Drosophila melanogaster: one gene and its partner. The protein of the gene in region 1 purifies or fractionates together with the protein of each later gene. This does not show direct contact. Each region holds a gene or a part of one and is shown on either strand. Other genes may lie near its edges.

What was found.
Region 2: the proteins of Hrb27C (region 1) and glo purify together in Drosophila melanogaster (affinity purification with western blotting; 2 studies listed by BioGRID). This does not show direct contact.

The regions. Positions count from the first base shown.
Region 1 is NT_033779.5:6,918,726-6,923,984, forward strand, and holds the start of Hrb27C (heterogeneous nuclear ribonucleoprotein at 27C), read left to right. Parts: upstream 1-1,978; 5' UTR 1,979-2,136; intron 2,137-2,240; exon of another isoform or gene 2,241-2,348; intron 2,349-2,534; exon of another isoform or gene 2,535-2,715; intron 2,716-2,913; exon of another isoform or gene 2,914-3,073; intron 3,074-4,005; exon of another isoform or gene 4,006-4,009; 5' UTR 4,010-4,101; intron 4,102-5,058; 5' UTR 5,059-5,180; coding exon 5,181-5,259. Other genes in the region: x16 splicing factor, read right to left, coding at 799-1,217. UniProt on the Drosophila melanogaster protein: This protein is a component of ribonucleosomes. Could be needed to organize a concentration gradient of a dorsalizing morphogen (Dm) originating in the germinal vesicle.
Region 2 is NT_033777.3:11,814,502-11,821,360, forward strand, and holds glo (glorund), read right to left. Parts: upstream 4,920-6,859; 5' UTR 4,710-4,919; intron 4,604-4,709; exon of another isoform or gene 4,517-4,603; intron 4,460-4,516; 5' UTR 4,442-4,459; coding exon 4,072-4,441; intron 3,637-4,071; coding exon 3,505-3,636; intron 2,838-3,504; coding exon 2,693-2,837; intron 2,257-2,692; coding exon 2,111-2,256; intron 2,044-2,110; coding exon 1,340-2,043; intron 1,265-1,339; coding exon 1,001-1,264; 3' UTR 792-1,000; downstream 1-791. Other genes in the region: COX5A (cytochrome c oxidase subunit 5A), read left to right, coding at 5,211-5,660; Kyat (kynurenine aminotransferase), read right to left, coding at 5,907-6,719, 6,779-6,859.

The DNA of each region.
Region 1 (5,259 bases):
ATCCAAAATGAAGTGCAAGCACGTGTGCCTTCGGTCTACGGCGTTGCCACTTGGTTCGCGCATAACAGCACCACTGTAATTAATTCACCACGAACGTAAAAGCGCGGGGAAAATAGCGTAGGAGGGTGTCTTGCAGCCGCCTGCTACCCTTTTGTTTACCACTTATTTTAATTTGTCTATTTCTAATCAAATCAATCAAACTTTAATATCAATATTAAATATATTAGAGGACTTCGCTAAATCATTGTCACGTAACTATTTGTAAGCTTTTGTGCAATTTACGGACAAATTCTTGTGCTCAAGAGTATAAAATATATATATTTTATATATTTATTAATCACGAAAGTGTTTACATTTTTACAATATATTAGACTTATAATAGTCTATATAATAGACTTAAAAACAAAATTCTGTTATTACTATCTGAATAGATAACTACTGTTGTCAAGCATGATTTTGTTAGACAATTGTAGAAGCTATATACTTCTCATATCGATATTAATGGGTATGCCACCCGAGCACGTGTGCGTGCTGTTATGGTACAGAACTACTTCATGCGCTGGGATTAACAGCACTCATTGCGCATAACAGCACGCTGTTAGTTTTAACAGGCGACAGAGGTGCCCAAACAAACTCAACATTTTTGCATGCGCATACACACAAGCATGCATGTATGTATGTATGCGTTTGTTTGTATGTATGCCTTTCTCTCGCCATGTTACAAAAAGCAAGAAGTTTTTGGCAACGACAATGAATGAAAAATTGAAATGGCGAATTGCAAATGCGAATTGCGCTTACCTGCGTCGCTGCCTGGCCTTCCTTTCGCGACAGTGGCGAGCGAAATGCCCCCGTCCGCCGCACTCGTAGCACTTATCGTCCCCACGACCACCGCCGCCTCGGTCGCGTCCTCCGAGTCCTCCACCACCACCGCCTCCACCACCTCCGCCACCACCACCGCCGGACCTAGCATACTTTCCGGTGGACAATTCCACACGGGCTCGGCGCCCGCAAACCGTCCGTCCGTCCAATCCGCGCACCGCATCCGCCGCATCGCGGGCACTCTCAAACTCCACGAAGGCGAAGCCCGGCGGATTGCGGGCTATCCAGACGCTGCGCAAACTGCCGTACGCTCCAAATACATACTCCAGGTCGTTCTTCCGGGCATTGTTGCCCAGATCGCCCACGTACACCTTTCTATCGCTCGGATGGCGCGACATTTCTGTTTATTTCGCTTTTCCCCGGGCCCAAATTAATGTGGCAGCAGCGCAGAAAAAAATCGATGATGGGTTGGAATCACTTGCCACCGCCTTCCTGGGCACTTTGGTCGGTCAATCGCGCACTGGCGAACACTTTTAGTCACTTAACACGGTCGGCAGATGCGAATTTTTGTGTTTATTTTCTATTTAATGCAGCGCAAAACTCATTTTACCGGGTAGCAAACAGAGTGACCGTGGACAGACCATTAAAAGAAACTGCGGACTCGCTAAAAATATACCAAAAGTTATGCTCAATCCGCGGGTAACGGTCAGCAAAAGGCGGGAGTGTCTGGCAACAATAACTTCCAGGGCCGAAAAATGAAAATCTAAATATTTCCTTTTCAACTCCTACGAAAAAAATACTCAAAATTATTTTTTCCTTTCAAAACATTCCATCCGCCTAAAGAAAGCGACTATAAAACCTTTTTTAGTATAGTACATACAAATCATATACACACATCTTATTACATTTTTCACCTTTAAGATATTATTGTACTGCACAATTACATTTTAATGTAAATAATTTATAATACATTTTTTTAACCAGTCCCCTTTAACTTCCTTTATATTTAGCCTTCGTGTTAAAAGATAGATATAAATTCGTAATTTAAATTTGTTTTCTAGTATCTGTTAGATTCAGAATATATGTGGAGTATGTTTTAGTATATTCCGTGCAACTTGAGGTATTTTTTTTGGCTGGCGGCGGTCACACAGCATTAAACGTGGCGGCGATTTATCATATAAGTTAGGTTATAATATCGTATGCATCAAAATCATACAATTATTTATAAGCTAGTTTTTTAAGGAAAAAACACTTAAATTTAGTGAATTTGCAGTGCGAAATCTTTAAAAAACCACAGACGAACACTTGGCACAAACGGTAAGAACGAAAAGCGACCGAAAATCGCATTTACATAACAATTACAGTGCTTTAACAAAATGCCTGCCTAGCCTTTCCTTTCCAAAAAAAACGCCTGAATACTTGACGCAGCTGCCATTGCTCGGTGTGCGCGTGTGTTTGTGTGTGGGGTAAAATTGGCTCGATTCGTTCGAATCGTTTCTTCGCCTTTTCGGATTTCTCGACAAACAGAGGTTTGTGCAATTTTCAGCGATTTTTCGTGCCACTTTCGGCACTCTATTTCCACCCATCAAAGTGGAAAATTTCATATTTTTATACATACATACGAAAAAATGCTATGTATAACACCACACCAACGATCACGCACACCATTGCACAGCGCTCGGCGGCCATTCGCGCACACACACGCTCTCACGCGCACACACGTACGGCCAACTCATGCACTCACACACGCCAGCAGATTGCGGTGCAAAATACAAAAATCGTGCGAAATTCGTAAAATTGCGTATTAGAAATCTTGGTTAATTTCGCTCCTATTTCTCCGGCCCGAAAGCCCAAGTGTCAAAAGTGTACCCGGCGTGAAAGTGCATTCGTGAATTAGTGAGTGCCCCATCGATTAAACCGCCTGGCTGGCCAAACAAAACGAAAAGCGTAAAAATACAGTGAAATGCGTTTGTTCCCTTTTCTAAGAACTGAGACCCAAGACATTTCTTGAGACTTCTTTGTTGTATCATTTTTCATAAGGCACGTCTTCCATTTTGTTTTTTTTTCTTCGTTGCCTTTGCCGTGGTGAATTTCCCACACACTGCCAGTGCGATTCATTCAGTTCAGTCGTGAGTACTCAGCCAGCAACAACAATAAAACATTAATCGTTTAAAGCTGGAGGAAAACTCGAAAAAGAATTGTTTGTTTTTTCTTTCGATGGAATTAACATTTATTTTGAGGGCATTGGTTTTTGGTACGTTTGCTTTTCGCTTTCCATTCGCGTTCACGTCACACATGGCGTTGCCACATGTTTTTTCACTTGTTAATGGGCAAAATGTCTGCGAAGTGCTGCCAGTAAAGAAAACGGGATTTTCTTGATAACAAAGTGAATTTAAACCCGTTGTTCATTGGCGTTTGCACAAAAATTTAAATATACTCCTGTAGATGTTTACTTGGCCCACATCTGGCTGTAATCTGTAATACCCTGGCAAATGGCGCGCAAATGTGGTGAACCGGCGACAGCTCTCTTTTCACCTTGGAAATACATAAGTTCGTTGTTCTCATTGATAGGCGGCATGTGTGCTGGTGTGTGAGTGAGGCTGGGGATTTGTTACAACAACAACAACAACAACCATTCCGCTCGTGACACAGCGAAAAGAAAACAATACTTTCACGTAGCCGTTCAAAAACGAGTGAAAGGGGATGAGAGTAGTGTTGGGGTGTCGAAGGAGGAGCAAACTTGTGAACGTGTACAAAAAGCAGTTAGACGACAAACACACATACACGTGTACGGCGGAATCTCTTCAGCTGCGTGTGTTTGTGTGTATGTGTACCGGCCGGTTGCTTCTGCCGCTTTTTTCTCTTTTTTTTTTTTGTTCCTACCTGTGCCTTTCATAATAACTATGCGTGAATTTTTTGTCATCTGACCATTTCTACCCATTCGCACCAAAGATCTTTACACAGCAAGAAATATTGTCTCCGAAGGAAATGTAAATTTAAAAAAATTTCAACCATAGCCCTGGCCTTTAATTTTAATAACGTCAGTTTGCAAATAACCAAATTAACTATTCCACCTTGTTTTTTCCTGTGTAGCAATTCGATTAACCGGATTTCTTATATTCTATGTGTATCTTTCCATGTGCCTGCAACAAAAACAAACCGACGACATCGATATTGTTACGATAGAAAGTTACGTGTGAACGTCGTGGCTTTTGTTTAATTGTTTTGAAGGAAAAAAGAACTTTGGCAACGTTGAAACCAACCTAAGATATTGCCCAAAAAGTAAGATATTGCCCAAAAGTAATTGCGGATTTTTCATATAGTCGGCGTTGACAAATTTTTTCAACGGCTTGTAACTCTGTAATTGCATTCTTTCTTTGGTCAGTTATCAGCTGTTACTTTTAGCTTCCATTAGAAAAAAAAGTGCGCGAAATTTTGTTTTTATTTGTTTGTTTGGCGTCAATTTTAATATGGAGCCCACAAAGGAGCATTTTCGTCATATCTTACTTTATTATTTCCGTAAAGGAAAAAACGCGGAGAAGGTTGCTAGAAAGTTACGAGAGATACGATGGTATGGTGATGAAGCCTTAAAAGGAAGACAGTGTCAAAATTGGTTTCGCAAATTCCGTTCTGGAGATTTTTCACTTAGAGATGAGCCACGTTCAGGCCAAATGAAGTTGATGATGACCAAATCAAAGCATTATTATTTATCGAATTAGATCGTCATGTAACTTGAGCGTGAGATAGGAGAGAAGTTAAATATACCAAAAATCAACCGTTCATTATAAAAAGTCTTGGACTGGTGAAAAAGCTTGATATTTGGGTACCACATGTATTGAAAGAAATTCATTTAACACACCGAATCAACGCTTGTGATAAGCACCTTAAACGCAATGAATTCGATCCGTTTCACTTCAATGGCTGATATCCACCAAAAGAAGGTTATGCTGTCTGTTTGGTGGTATTGGAAGGGTGTCGTATATTTTTAGCTGCTTCCAAGGAACCAAACGATTAATTCGGATGTTCGCCAGAAAGATGGCAAAAGATTATCGAACAATATATTTGATTAAAGTTCATTCGAAGTTTTATTAAAAATGCATTTACTTTCATTTACAAAATCCGCAATTACTTTTTGGACAACCCATACATAAAATACATACAAACATAAATACATAAAAAAAAACACAAAAAAAAAATACCAGCAGCAGTGTAAAAATTGTATATTCTCCCCCAAAACAGGCAACCAACCGAACACAAGTTAATTTCTTTGCACCCCGTGTTAATAAAAAAGCGGCAAGATTACGTCAATTATTGAGAACCTACCCGGCGCCATAGCTCACAACCACAACCAAAACAACATCATGGAGGAAGACGAGAGGGGCAAACTTTTTGTGGGCGGTCTATCCTGGGAGACGACGCAGGAGAACCTGTCGCGCTACT
Region 2 (6,859 bases), on another chromosome or scaffold:
GCTGAAAAAAGCCTTTTCGAGTATAAGTATATTTAAATACGTCTTCCTTCTTTTTACGAGATCTCATAACTCGCCGCTTGGCAAACACATCGGGTCTACGTTATACCTTATCTATTTTCAGCATTCGGTTTATTGGTATAATTATGAGGAATGATCATTGGATCAAAATAGACATACAAATTTATTGACAGGTCTGCTATCTACATCGCAACTATGATACTGAGCTGTCAACTGTGCCTTTAGGAAAGTGAAAAGTAAAACTTTTGTCTTCGGCCCGCAAATTCTGAACCTTTGCTAAGATATTGTGAAATAAAAAAACCGAAGGCGAAATAAATACCGAAGAGCATTAAAGAGTTTAGGAGGTATCAAGTTTTAAAGGAAAGCCACTCTTTCCGATTTACCAAATGATGTTTTGATATTTCTAGTCCCAGCCAGATGTGTTCATTACTTACTTTTATTCCCACTTTTTTTCATCAATGTGGGCAACAACTGCCCAGAAATGCAAATAGGCTTTGTGCAATTCATGGCATACCCTATTATTTTGTATAATTAGTTTCTGTATACTTAAATGTGAATATCAAAAGTTTTTAGACAGCTGTGCACTTACAGAAGACCACATATGATCTCATCTGTATCCACAATTTTTAATTCTAATCATTTCCGGGCAGACGAGTTCTAAGTTTAAGAAAAACTCGTTTCATTTTCATTTTAAAATAAAAGTTTATTTTAGAAAAACCTAAATTAATAATTGAAACTTAAATATTAAAATTGAAATTTCTACAGAATAAAGTACTTAAATAAAAGTGTGCTCTTTATTCTTGATTATACGTTGGTGGTTTCTATGTGTAACCAATTGTCTCTGTCTGAATTCTGTTCGATAGTTAAGTCGTTTACATGGTTGTAAGGGTTCCTTAGCGGTTTAGCAGTATCAGCTTGATCATAATATTACGAAATACTTGCGTCTACATTAATTTCAATGTAATCAAACTATGGAAGAGCTTTAGATGCGCCGCGAAAAGTTTCCGCCGCCATTGTTTCCCATTCCGCCGCCACCGTTACCACCGCCGTGTTCCCCACCATTGAGTCCACGCGTCTTTCCGTCGTAGAACAGCTCAATGTATCGCGAACCCATCTGCTCTCTGTGGCGCTTCATGGCCACCTGGGAATCCTCGTAGGTGTCGAAGTAGGCATCCGCAGTGCCACTGTGCAGACCCTTCTTGTTGTAGTTTATCCGCACGTTAGCTGGTCGGATTGGTTCGAAGAACTATAGAAAGAAATTATTGTGATTTTAAGTAAGTTGAATATTCCTTCTTAACAAGTTCGTTATTGTTAAACCCACCTTAAAAACGTCGTTTTCAAATGAAGTGTAGGGAAGTCCGCGCATGTGGATTGTATAATACTCGATGTCGTTGCCCCGACCGCCGCCGATGGGACCGAAATTGCCACCACCGCCCATTGAGTTGCCGCCGCCGAAGTTCGAGCCATTGTTGAATCCGCCGCCACCGCCGTTGTTGCCTCCTCCGAAGTTCGAGCCGACATTGTTGTTTCCTCCAAAGTTACCGAATCCAGAGTTTCCGAAATTTCCGTTGTTATTGTTGCGACCGCCGCCGATCGGGCCAAAGTTGCCAACACCACTCGAGGATACGAAGTTTCCGCCGTTATTGAAACCTCCTCCACCATTGCCGCCAAAATTGGAGCCGCCATTGTTGCCGAAATTATTAACGCCACCTGGAGAATTGAAGTTGTTGCCACTGTTGAAACCACCGCCGCCGTTGTTGTTGCCGCCGAAGTTTCCGCCTCCATTATTGCCGAAGTTTCCAAAGTTTCCGCTGTTACCACTGTCGTTTCCAAAGTTGCCGGAATTTCCACCGTTGTTGCCGCCACCAAAGTTGCCGAAATTGCTGGGTCCAGAGTTATTTCCAAAATTTCCATTATTTCCACCTTGGTTGTTTCCAAAGTTGCCCGAGTTCATCAGGCTTGGCAGATTGTTGAAGCCCAGCATGTTGTTGGCACCAACGCCAAAGTTGCCATTGTTGCCCCAATCTTTGTTTAACATCGGAATGGCAATCAGTGAAGTTTTATAAAATTTAACAATTAGATCTGAACATACCATTGCGCCCTCCGCCGAAATCATTGCCACCACGGTTGGCACCACGATCACGTATGTCATAAGGGCCAGGGCGTCCTCCGACACCGCCACCGGCGCCTGTGGCCCTCTTCATTTCAGCAATCGAGCTGCGGAATATCTCAATATACCTATGTGAATAAAAGTGGAAAATATATGTATTTTAAAAGTGGTACTTGAAATTGCTAGGGTCGGTGGCTTTTTTCCATGATCAACTATTAAATATCACGTAAAAAAATGAAATCAAAATAAATTCATTGAAATGATCAAATAAAATAAATAAAAATGCTGTTCACAGTTTAATTAATTTGTTAGATAAAGCACATGATCGCGCTTAAACATATATATGTATTTAGAGAGCCCCACCAGACCCGTAGCTATGGGAAAATTTTTTGCTAAATGATTTCTCAGTTACTGAAATAGAAATTATTTGTGATAAAAGTTATTAAATATTTTGTGAATAATTGTATAGTCCTTGTGTGTTTCAACAAGTTCGCAATCGATTACCACTTAATGTTTTAATTTCGCTGTTTTTGTTGTAGAAGATATGATGAATTAGAAACCCACCTGTGCCCAATTTTTTCCCGATTTCGGCCCAAGGCTTGCTCAGTGTCGTCCTGGCTTTCGAACTGAACAAAAGCTTCCCCAGTTGCACGACCCCTTCTGTCCATAACAAAAAGTATGCCCTCCCGATCCGTTTTGATATCCAACCCTGCCCATGACGATAACCAACAAAGATTTATACAAATATATAGATTTCATATATATATATACATTATGCAAGGTTAAGCTTAGATAGAAAAACAGAAATACAGAGGTTGATAAATGTTATTGTTTAGTTCCAACACCGCAGAACTTTTGCAGGTTCTCACGGTATTAGCAACGTTTGCATAAATAAACAGTGCCTTTTAGTCAAACTATGATCACCAGGCAAGATGCGACTGTTGCAATCGAGTTTCCCGGACCACAATGTATTACAAAACTCAGATCCTGTAACTCGTAGACATGTGTAGCTCAGTTGAAGGTTGTGAGTAATGATCGACCATATAACCAAGTAAACTGGGTTATGTGACCAACGAAGGAATGATTTATCGGACAAGCGGACGTGACCGCGTCAACTCTCAGCCGTTGACTTTGGAAGGAGCCGCGTGAACCGCCGAACCCATTACACAAATGCAAGGGCCTGCATTTCTTTGCCCGACAATATGTATGTACGTTGAAACGCATGTGTAATTGATATATGAAAGGTGTAGATGAAAGGGGACCGTAGGCCATATCTCAACGATGTGAACAAATAATACATGCGGTCAACCACTGTCTTTTTTCCTGGTACCTGGTACATATTAGTATGGAAAGAGGATTTGGGTCAGGAAACTTACCAGAGAAGAACTCCTCGATTTGCTGCTCAGTGACGGCATATGGCAGACCACGAAGCTTCACAACGAAGGCCGTGCCGTGTCCGCTGATCTTCCGCATGGCTTCCTTGGCCTCCTTGGGCGTGGCGGTAAAAACTAAAGAAATAAAAACCAATTACATCAGTTAAAACGGAAAAAAAACAAACAAGTTTTCTGCACCATTTTGTGTTTGTTATTAAGATAAGAATTAACATGAATACAGATTATAAATGGTGGTGTGAAATTTACTTTACTAAATTTTAGTTTACCTCGATAGAAGCAAGGATAAGAGTAACAATACAGTGACATATTTGTAAAACCTCCTTAATATTAGGTAAAATTCCACAATGAATGAAAAGAAAATAAGCGCTACCAGTATAAGTAGCAAAACAATGAAGAAATAAATCATCTTCGATTCCATGTATGGAATCAGAACAAGTTCAAGCTTGTTAAAAGGATAAACATATAAACAAAGTGAGAAGAAACTAACTATAACTGCCAAGATAGTCATCAGGTACAGTCATCCCCCACTCAAGTGGCAAATAAACAAACCTTCAATGTAGCGGTGACCCATGCTGGCCTTGTTCAGCTTGCGAGCCTCTTCGACGTCCTCCTGGCTGGCCACCTCCACGTACGCCTCGCCGGTGTTCTTGCCGTCGACCCGACTGGTGACCAGGTGAATGCCCGCCGAGCCATTAGTCACATTCACGTTTTCCAGAAAGTCGAGTATCTCCTTGTGCGTTGCGGACCAGGGCAGGCCGCGCAACCGAACGAATTTGGGGCTCTCGCCGACGTTTTCGATCTTGCCGCCGCCATCTTCGTTGTACTGGTCATCCTCATCCTGCTGCTGGTTGCTGTCGTCGTTGAAGTTGTCGCCATTTCCCTGCTGGCCGTAGTTAAATTGCACGTCTGCGTTGGACATTTTTCACCAGATCTCTACCTGCAAATGGTGTTACAACGATTAGTCACTGGTTAACTAGTTTTAATTGTTTTTTACTGGCTGAAAATGCGATTTTTTGAGCTAGTGATTCTCCACTCAGCAGCGACGCTTGTTTGGTGCGATTCTTTTTTGCACCGCGTACGCCATTTTGATTTCTTGTCACCCCTAATTGCTTATGACATTTTGCAAGTCTCGTACACAATATAAACGCTTCTAAATGTCACACCTGGTGGCGGAACAGAGAACTAACCGTATTCTGCTCTGTTTCAACTTCCAATATCGCCTTTTTTTAAACTTTATCGGTTAATTTGACTTATTTTTCAGAGAGATTAATCAAATAGCACGCGTCAAGTTGAAGATGCAGTGTGACCGCAATTAAATCATCAAAAAATACCGCCTGGCAGTAGCCAGCATCAATGTGGACCGTTGAAAAAGAAACAAGGTTTGATTTTGATTTTTTTTTTGCTTTTTTTGGGCAAGATAGAAGAAATTAAATATAAGGAAAATGATAAACTAACTGTGATCTTACCCGAATTTGAAATATACTGAAGCAGAAACATTTTAAATATCTCACTGTTCCGTGACAGCGACAGTTATAAACGTGTCCATCCCTGGAAAAGCCAGTGTTGCCAACCATCACTCAGATCTGTCATACCCGTGTGAAAAGTAGCAAGAACAAGAAAAGTGAGTCGAGCTGTTACTTAACCAAATTTTTGCAATTAACAAGCATTTTACTGTTTTTAACGGCAGCATGTTGAGCATCACGGCCCGTAACCTGGCAAGCGCCCTCCGCAGCAGCCTCGTCGGCACATCGTCGCGCGTGGCCGCCGTGCGCTGTCTGCACGGAACCGAGGAATCGGCGGAGGAGTTCGACAAGCGCTACGAGAAGTACTTCAGCCGTGAGGGCATCGATGGCTGGGAGATCCGCAAGGGCATGAACGATCTGCTGGGCATGGATCTGGTGCCCAGCCCCAAGATCATCGAGGCCGGTCTGCGTGCCAGCCGTCGCGTCAACGACATTGCACTGGCCATCAGGTGGCTGGAGGGATGCAAGGACAAGTGCGGCGACCAAAAGGCCACCCTCTATCCCTACTTGCTGGAGAAGATCACCCCCACACTGCAGGAGCTGGGCATCCCAACCATCGAGGAACTGGGCTACGACAAGCCCGAATTGGCCCTGAAGTCCGTGTACGATGCCTAAGCGGAGAACACTAGTTTAAAAACACAGAACACAATATACACGTTACAGCGACACTAGCTACCTACTATCCAATGTATGGTGCGGATGAACATGTTGTTGGATTGCTAATAAATGGAGATTGCAGTAAGGCTACCACACCAGCACAAGGTTGTTTTCCCTGTTGGTTACGTAACACCCAGGTTAGGGAACTGCATTCGGGCAGAGATAAACAAAGCGGCTGATAGCAATTCGTTTATTGTCCGGCGACTATTTCCATTTGGACAGCAGTTCGGCCGCCTTATCCAGGTTCTCTTGCTTCTTGATGAAGCAGTAGCGCACAAAGTCCTCCCCCAGATGTTTGTTGGGTTCGCTGTAGAAGGCACTTGGCGGTATGCCCTGCAAGCCCATGTTCTTGGTCATCCACTTGGTAAACTTGTAATCCCGATGCTTGTCTGGCTCAGAGCTTAGATCAATCTTGCCCGCCAGTGGTGACCAGTCTGCCAGCATAAAGTAGCCACCCTCAGGAATGGTGGGACGCATACCGGATTCGGACAGGAACTTGGCCATGAAGTCACGCTTCTGCTTCAGCTCGCGCGGCAGGCTAAGGAAGTAGCTCTCCGGCTGACCCAAACGGGCCAGTTCTACCTCGAAACTGCGTGCGACGCCCTCCTGGAGCGGCGTTGGACAGGTGTACACAGAGTTCTGATGCACCATCTGCAGGTTTCGAATCAGTTCAGCGGGTCCGTAGGCCCAGCCTATTTTCCAACCAGTTACTGAGAAGGTCTTGCCCGCTGATCCCAGAGTAATGGTGCGATCCCACATGCCCGGCAGCGTGCAGATACGGATGTGCTCGGCTCCGTCGAACACCAACCACTCATACACCTCGTCCGAGACGCACAGCACATTCCACTTGCGGCAGAGCTCGGCTATCCTCTCTAGCTCTTTCCGGTTGAAGACCTTTCCAATAGGGTTGTGGGGCGTGTTTAGGATAATCATCTTTGTTTTAGAGTTGAACAGACTCTCGAACTCAGCGTCATCTAGCACCCAATCGGCAGAGCTTATTGGTCCCTCTGTCTTGCGCTAGAAGTTAGACATGTTAAAAAGAGGGATATATTTTTTTTTTCTATTGTGGTTCTTACCAATTTTAGGGGAACAAAGCGGGGCACTCCACCGGCCATCTTGACCATAGGCTCGTAGCAATCAAAGAATGGTTCAATAAT